Schizosaccharomyces pombe: one gene and its partner. The gene in region 2 interacts genetically with the main gene of each other region. Each region holds a gene or a part of one and is shown on either strand. Other genes may lie near its edges.

Region 1 (4,190 bases), on a different chromosome or scaffold from region 2:
TCCTTTCATTCATTCCCCAGTGCTTTCAGACGCTTTTTATAACAATTCTCCCTTGAGTTTCATTTCTGTTCATAGTCTCATTATTCTTTATTGTGTGTTGACTTCTTTTATTTTTAAACAAAGGTTCATTTTTATTGTCGTTCTCTTTTTTTTTTGAAATTCTGCTACTTTCTCTTGGAATCCCCATCAACGTGTTACCGAATTTGATTCATCATTATTCATACATCTTCCATTTTTGTTGGACATTCGCTGTCTCCAGTTTTTACTTTATCTTCCCATTTTAATAATGTGAGTCTTTACATTCATGGGATTTCCACGTCGATTCTTTTTTATTGCTTAATGGAAACGATTCTGACCGGACATCGTAATTAAATCTCTAACAAAGGCTACCTAATTTATACTTCCTCATCCGTTTACTATTTTTTGCTTTAATATACGTTAAGCAATAGAACAATTTACCATAGCATATTAACAAATCTAATACACTGTCATTCGTTCCCTATTAATCATATTTTTGCTTTGTAATTTATTTTTTTTATTATGGAATTAAAATATAAACGGTATGAAAGTCGTAAAAAGAAAAACACTAAAAATAAACAAAAGTCAAGAGACATGCGTATTTAATAGTACGCATCGATAATCATAAAGAATATGCAACAATGTTTGGATATCGAATTCATACACATAAATGAGGTGTCTCAATCTATGAAGAAGCAGCTATGCCGCGGTGTTGCTTTATAAGCATAAAGCATAGTCGAGAAAAAGACAAAAGACCAAAGGAGTAAACATGAACAAGGGAAATGCATTCGCGATATACGGAAATTTCTACTTGGAAATTTCAAAATAAAAAACAACTGCGCACCAACGATAACAAACACAGGTGCTAGTTCAACCACACAGAAAGTTTTACTTATATAAAGGAAGAAAAAAAGCATAGAAAAAGGAAAGAAACGAACTCGCATTTAAAAAATGGAATTGACGAGATCAGCGCCAGCAGTTGCACCAGCACCGAATACAAATGCAGAACCCAAACCACTACCAATCTTCTTGAATGTTGATGAGTGCTTGTGCTCGGTCGGTTGTGCAACCACGATGGGTTGTTGAGGCGCCTGAGGATAGGCTTGGACAGGTGGATATGGTGCTTGCTGAGGTGGATATGCTGTTTGCTGATACTGCATGGGAGGTGCCGAAGAAGATGCTGCTGGGGGATAGTTTTGCTGTGGTGGAGGAGGAGGAGGTTGAGCTTTAACGGCAGAATCTTCCAACAAACGCACATAGTTAGAAGGGAAGATTCCTTCCTTTCCATTCAATTCACCACGCCACCAATCGTTATTGACATGCTCAAGTACAATGATAACTTCGCCAGCATGGAAACCTAAATCACCAGCATCAGGGCCAGGAAAGTCGTACATCGCCAAAACCCGCTCAACGTTCTTATGGGCAGTATTGGGTCCAGGATAGCTGGGAGGAGGGGGAAGCTTCTCGGTAGATGAATTGACACTTGAAGCCTCGCTTTGCTTCTGTGGGGCAGGCACTCCAGGCAGCTTACGAGGTTCCTCGGGTGTCCTCTTTTCTCCAGAGTTTTGAGACAAAGACATTGCTGCTACGGCAGACGCTACCGATCCTGCTCTTTTTTCCACAGAGCTCTTCCGCTTGGGCAAGGGAAGGGGTACTGAGGACTCAACAGGTTGAGCAGCTGGAGCAGTTACAGGACTAGCGGGACCGTCCTGTAAATGGATATTTGCGTGAACCCAATCCAAAGCACTCCTTTCAACTACGCCCTCATCAACAAGGAATTGGAAGTCGTTGTAGATTCCACGAATAACATGATTCAGGTAGTTTTTATGATCCATATTTCTATGGAAATTTATTACTTAACTCTTTAAGATCTCAAATAAAAATTATTTCAGTTAATTCTTATCAATCTTTAAAAGTTTTGCTGATTAGTGGTAATGGCGGAAGGTAGGTTTACAACTACCGCTTGGTGTGTATACCTGGTAGGTATATATATGGAAAAAACATACGAAGATCGTGGCGCCAAAATTCCAATGCTTTCCACCGGGGCTGAAAAACAATGCAATTTTTTTTAAAAAAATCCTTTTATATAGTAAAATGAGAACTTGTGTGCCATAAGTTTTCGTTAGAATTTTTCAAAAAATTGAATTATGTGAGCAAGTTATTAAGTGGAATTATTTTTAACTTAGAACATTTGAACTGTCAAGTTCAATGTATCAGGAAAAAATATTGAAAATTTGAGAAAGAATTTTTTCCTAGGTATGGCTACAAAATATCGAACAATTTGATGAAATAGGAATTTCTAACCATTTGTTATGTCTCAATTAAATTTCGCCGTATGTAGAGCCTTTGCTTTCAGATATTCGTAAAAACATACAAAAAAGCATGGCACTAGCTGTGTTTTCGTATAAATAAAAAAGGTCCTTAGTATAGTTATCCAGACGATATTTTTCAATTTCAAATCTCACTTCAGGTACCTGAAAACATCCCTAAGTAGAAGTAATATTTTTGTATCCTGACTTGAAATCTGGGCTTTTAAAAAAATGATTTTGGTGCTTTAGAATGCTGTGTGAATTGAATTTTCAATCTCTCAACAAATGCGTCTCAGCGCAGTATAATTGGTTTCCAACGGAAATTTATTATTTGTCAAAAATAAAAATAAATCTCACAAGTTGTGTATATTTGACAATTCCAGCAAAGCCGCATAGACGGTATGCATGGTCTTTATTCTTCCAAAAAAAAATATTCAATAATCACATACTATAATATAGCGATTTGAACAAGCTAAGTAACCGTTTGAGTAATGATTCTTTCATTTATAAGTCATTCTGATCCTTGACGAAATTCATATTTTGTGTCTATTTTCATTCGTATTAAAACTTAGATTACATTGAAATTACAGCATTGGAGAAGCGGCTATATGCATATGAACTCTTTAAAGGATTAGCGATAAAATTACGTTTTTTTTGAACGCTAAAATGTTTGCAGTAATTTTGGTGAAATTCTATTTTCAACGTCTTCATTACCACCCAAATACCCATACTGACGTGAAATTGGACTAACTTGGAGAGGCTTATTCTTTGTGAGAAATTGTTTTCTCCGTTTTGTATTTGAAGAGACAGAAAAGATTTTAAATTTTTTTAAAACTTGCTAGTCTTGGTTATACTTTTGTTACTGTTTTAACTTCAGTTTTTTGTCTTGTCCAAATATTACGATTTTTGAATCGATTGTTGGCAATCACTCAAATCAAGTAATGTTTCGAAGGGGTTTAGTTTTCTCTAGGCATTGTCATTACAGCTTGATTCGTCCTCGATTTCCTTTGAATCGTACGTGCCTAGCGCGTTTTGCCGACGGTCGCAAAAATCTAGCTACTGACAATCGAACGCAGACATACCAATCATGGCGTGGAATGATTTCTATAAGAGCATTGCTTCTTGCAGCTGCAACAAGCGTTGGCCTTTATGCTTATTTCCAACATGAAAAGAAAAAAGTGTTGGAGAGGCAAAACGACAAGGTTTTGGCTACCATAGGTCGTCCCCAATTAGGAGGTGCTTTTTCTTTAATTGATCATCATGGAAATCGAGTTACTGATAACGATTTCAAGGGAAAATTTTCCTTAATCTACTTTGGTTTCACCAGATGCCCCGACATTTGCCCCGACGAGCTCGACAAAATGTCAGCAGCTATTGATATTGTAAACAATGTTGTTGGAGACGTGGTTTATCCTATTTTCATAACCTGTGATCCAGCCCGTGATCCTCCGCAAGAAATGGCTGAATACCTTGAAGATTTCAATCCTAAAATCGTTGGTCTCACAGGATCCTATGAAGAAATAAAAGATATTTGTAAAAAATTCCGAGTCTATTTTTCTACCCCTAAGAACATTGACCCTAAAAAGGATGATTATCTGGTTGACCACTCGGTATTCTTCTACTTGATGGATCCAGAGGGTAAGTTCATTGAAGTATTTGGTCGCAACTCTACCTCTGAAGATTTAGCTCGTGCAATCGGTTCTTACTATTTGTCCCGAAAGAAACAGAAATAATTAAATACCTTTAGCCTTTCATGTGTTTTGATTTTATGCTGGGTTACTACTTTTTCCATATTCACTAATTTTTACTTAATACTTTTAAAAACAATTTCCCACTATTTTCTGGCGGTACACAGATTTATTT
Region 2 (5,030 bases):
TATAAAAAGGTCTCAAGAGTAGTATTTACGTCGGTTTATTCATTTTTAAAATATTTTTTCTGGCAAATTGGGATGTAACTTGATCGTTTTGCATACTCACTTTTACTTACCTTAAACTTAACAAGTTCGAGGTACGCTTTTGGAAGTCGTTTTAGATACTTTTAGGCAAGGTCCCGAGCTTTGTTGATTATACGTTGACTATTTGGAAGATATGTTGAAGTTGAGAATCACACAGTGAGTTGGTACAGTATATATACGAATTGTGGGGTAGTGCTTACACTCAATATAAGGTTGTAGCATTACGCAATCGATCTCAACGGGCATTAAAGATCGAACGCCGATTTGTCAAGAACGACGACTGGCTAAAATAGCAAACCGCAGGACAGTGCAAAGCAATGCGGAATAAATTCCTAAAACTCGTATAGTGGCTTCTTGCTACACTACTGTAAATATTTGGCAGAAAGAAAAGCTACTGTACTATTTCAACTCTACAATGGAAACAGATTATACAGGCAGCTGTACAATGTAAGAATGAAAGTGACAGTTGTAAAGTTATAGTTCAAGCCTCAAAGAAAAAATATTTTGTATATTATATATATGTATATATGTATATATTTATAGATGAACTCATTCAACTATAAAACTTCCAAAATCTTCCTTTCCTCTTTTATTGAACAGCATGGCTTTTTTTCATAAAAACATAACATGAGCAAAACAGCAATCGAGAAAATGATACCTTAGCTAGAGGATTTGTTTAGACTGAAAAACAAAAACAAAAAGAAGATGATGATGAATTCAATTGGCGAACGGAAGACACTTAAAATCCTTTCGAGTTAAAATCAACAGGGAAAAAGAAATGAGGAAGCGTCATATACAACAGCCTTATCATTGTCATCCATAAATTCTATTTGCACACAAACAATCACTAAATTTAAGCTTCTATATCGTTTAACTCGTAAAATAACCACTATTCGTATGTATGCATGCACGCATATATCATAAAGTCAACGTAGCAATTCGTGGTACGGACAACAACTTTTCCCGCGCATTATCCGATCCCATTCAATATAAAGATGTATGTGGGGAAGTACACATTGAGTCCAAGGGATATTTGGGCAAAAGGTAAATCGCATCGGAAAGTCGAAAGCGAAGGGAAAACAAATATTTGTATCTCTGAAATAAGCCGAAGATTTGATTGATCAATTTTACAAAACATCGAGCAAAGTGTGTCGTTAGTAGCAGTAAAAGAAAAAGATGAAGATGAATAAAAAGCTCTAGACAAATCAACTTAAATCTTTACTATGAAACCGTTAGGAATATAGCTTGAAAAAGCTCTCTGAGAAAAACTTATTCGTGACGTACAATCTCAGAGACAAGCTCTCCCTTTTCATTCACCTTGTGCTTGATCTGCTCGGGAACAGCACGTTCAGCATAATCTCCCTCTTCGTTGGGGACGTTGATGTTCAAGCTTGTTGATTTACTAGTGACAACTTCGGACGACAACGAAGATTTGCTCAAATAGATGGAACCTCCATCGCATTGGTCGATAACAATCATTGGAACGTGATTCATAACTTGGCAGCCAAAATTGGAACACTTAGCAATATCAAAAGCGGCCACTAAAGTATCTACTACAACGCTAGTACGTTTACAGTTGCTCATGGAAACGGTGTTTAACTTTCCTTTAATTATAATTGTGCAATTGGAGCAACCGAAAATTTGCACTGAGTGGTTGAGCTCCACAGAATCCAAGACTATACTGTGATTGTCGACTTGGTTTTCAACAAACCACTTAGTATTTTCCAACTCAATGCGAGGTGGTTTAACGGGAGCAGTTTCCGCTGGCTTAGAAGGAGCAGAGCTTTTGATTTTAGGCTTAGGACCAGGAGTGGGTCCCGTTTTACGTAAATTCGGATTTTTGTGGGTCATTTCACTCTTATCCACCTTACGAAGTCCGGATGTAATTCCCTCGCCTTTATTAATTTCGGCAAACACCGCTCCCATATCACCTTTATTATCAGCAGGTGCGGGCTCGTTGCTATCCTTCCAAAAATCATTAGATGGAGGAGGTGGTGGTGGTGGTGGAGGCAAGCCGCCGTTTGCAGAATCGCCAGAAGATGGTGCCTGAGTTTTCGAAGCAGACAAGTTTGCCAAAGCCGTTTTCAAGGGTACTGCATCCTGTTTAGTAGACCAGGTGAGACCGGTTTTGAAGTGGGTCTTGACGTATGTAATCAATTCAGTCAACAGAGTAAGGTAAGAACGAACCCATTCGATTTGCAAGTCATCTTTACCTTTAAACTCTTTCATTACACGGTTGGCGTAGAATTGGGACGAATCTTTCATTTCAGACATAAAGGATAATGGAGTGGGCTCAACTGTGACCCAGCCCAAAATACTAATTCCACTCATGACGGTAGAAAGTTGATTGAACTCGGGGGCGGTGCGGTGTTCATCTCGAATATTGGTAATAGTGAGCAGTTCAGATTGGATAGGCTTGAGGAATTCCAAGAGTTCCGGGGAATCCATGTCGGGTTTCTGGGCTTTCAAAGCGACGCTCAAAACCTGACGTAAAAGGTTAAAAGCCTTCTCGACGTGTTCACTTTGTTCGGCAATCAAACCACCAATTTTTTTACTCAATTCCATGTATTTAGATAAATACTTGGAACAAAATTCATCGTAGGCGGAAATGGAAGCAGGAACCGCTTCAACGGCAGAGGTGGATGTAAGACTTCTGTTCCGAGGACTGATAGCAGCCGCAACTTGATCATGTAATGATGCGACAGCAGGACTACCAGTCGACACGGTTGGGGCCGTTGGAGTACCAATGTTGAAGGATATGTTGTGGGTTTGACTGTTTGAATCTCTAGAAGGACGATGCATGTTGGGAAGAGGCTTATGACCACTTTCCACAAGATCCTCCAAACGAGAAGTTGCCGCTTCCAGTCTATATGAGTAAATGTTAGATGCATAATCAATTAAAGACTATTACTCTTTTAGCAGTTTAATGCAATTACATACCGTTTGAGAATCGTGGTAAAATTGTAGCCTGTTTCACGTATATTGATCATATCCGACATGGTTAGACGAAAAGAAAATGTGTTTAGCGGAGGTTAAGTGATTTTTATAATGCAACGCAACAAATATAGTAAGTGTGGTGGTGGATGGAGGACGAAGGAACATAGAGCCGGCTTAAGCAATATGAAACTCGGTATCGAAAAAAGCGACTTAACCTTTTCAGCTGTAGTATAAACTAGCGTTTTTATTATATAAAAAATTGAAAAAACGATAACTATTTCCCTCTTTTGAAGCTAGAAGAGCTACTGGCAATGATCGTGTCTTGGCTGTGAACAAACATAAATACTTAACATAAAAAAATAATTCCATATTCGCGCTGCACCTTACTTTAGCCAAAAAAAATGTAATTATTAAATGCACCGAACCTCTGCTGAGATGAGTCCAGAGATTATCGAGGTAAGGTTTTTAATCTGGCAGCTTCGTCTGTTGTGCAATCGAAACTATATACGCTTTCTGAGTTAAAAGATTGGAAAAGAGAAGCAGCGATGCCGTTGCTGAGCTTTTAATTTTTGACGTGCTGTTTACAGTCGCTAAACTTTTGACGAAGTTCAATCCTTTTCCTACATATCCCTATGCTTACTCTAAGTATAGTCTCATTGTTGAAATGTTAATGCCTCAATTTTTTAAAAAGAATTTGTTTACGATGAAAGTGAAGGAATGCAGTTATTTAAACGACTATAATAACATTGCCTGTACAGTATTGGCAAATAAGACCTAGCAAAACAACGTTGAAAATTATGTTGATTTATAATTTAGGAGTAAATTGATTTTACTAAGTCATTTTACATTAATCATACTTTTATTTATTAATTTAAATGGCTGCTGGCAAATAAGGCGGTACACACGCATTTGTAATTTTGCTGTACTGCGTTAATGTCTTGAACCCTATAACGTTTAAGGAAAGCTAAGTTGGGGTGAATAAAAAGGGCAGTGACAAAATAAATGTGTCAGAAGCAATTGCATTTTGAAAATGAGTTTTGGAATTCTACTTTTCACTTGCTATTATTGAAAAAACAGTTTGCTTTGAAACGAGTATTGCTCATTTATTTATGTTGAGCGGCGGGAACTGAACTCCAGAGTGAATATTCTTGATTTCGCTGTTTCGTTTGTCGCAATCACAGCAATTAATTCGCGCATGTGTTTTATTAAATAAAGAATTATCTTGATGAAATGAAGAATAATTACACTTCCTTGAAAAGTCCTCTAGATGAAGAAGATGAATTGAAGACAGATCATGAAATCGATTTGGAAAAAGGCCTGCTTCCAGAATATAATTCAGAGGAAGAGGGCGCATTACCTCCATATTCAGGTAAGAATTGTAAATAATAAGAAAGGAATTACTCAATTGAAAGTTGAAACTTGCCATTGCTGTAAAATAACTTGGATGTGATCATTGTTTATAGTCGGCCATGCATGCACACACTTTGATACATGCACTTTCTTTACTAAAGTATTTCAATCATATTAATTTAAACAGATTACGCACGTGTAAGCAATCCTCCTAACATACATAGAGAAAACCATTCTTCCGGGACGACAGATGATTCTTCCCCTTTTTTGATTAAACTACTAATATCATTCACTCCAATCGTTCTACTCAATGCTCTAGCAGTTTGTTATCTAAAGTATAAAGACGCTTTCTTTAAAAATTATGGTGCAGCGGAATGGACGTTATTTGGATTTTGGTGTCTTGTTTGCACTTTGGCTTTAATATTCTTGACTTGTAAGTGAGACAATGGGGTTAATCTTACCTTCAGTCACTAACTCATTAGACTTCTATGAAAAGGGCCAAGGCAGTTAAAGTAACTGTAAATTTCTTGGCACAATGTGTAAAGGTAACTGCGGTCGGCTTGTACAACTCAAGGGAAAAATGGGTAGTAATAATTTGGCTATTATGGGTAGTCATTTGCTATACACTTTTTCTTCGCGCCAAATTCGGTAACCTGAACTTATAC

Evidence for each region.
Region 1: mutations in cap1 (region 2) and lsb1 impair growth when combined (synthetic growth defect), as found in Schizosaccharomyces pombe (one study listed by BioGRID).

What each region holds. Positions count from the first base shown.
Region 1 is NC_003423.3:720,491-724,680, forward strand, and holds lsb1 (SH3 domain-containing protein), read right to left. Parts: upstream 1,965-4,190; 5' UTR 1,854-1,964; coding exon 963-1,853; 3' UTR 517-962; downstream 1-516. Other genes in the region: copper chaperone Sco1, read left to right, coding at 3,269-4,060.
Region 2 is NC_003421.2:423,200-428,229, forward strand, and holds cap1 (adenylyl cyclase-associated protein Cap1), read right to left. Parts: upstream 3,164-5,030; 5' UTR 3,078-3,163; coding exon 3,019-3,077; intron 2,945-3,018; coding exon 1,348-2,944; 3' UTR 553-1,347; downstream 1-552. UniProt on the Schizosaccharomyces pombe protein: The N-terminal domain binds to adenylyl cyclase, thereby enabling adenylyl cyclase to be activated by upstream regulatory signals, such as Ras. The C-terminal domain is required for normal cellular morphology and growth control.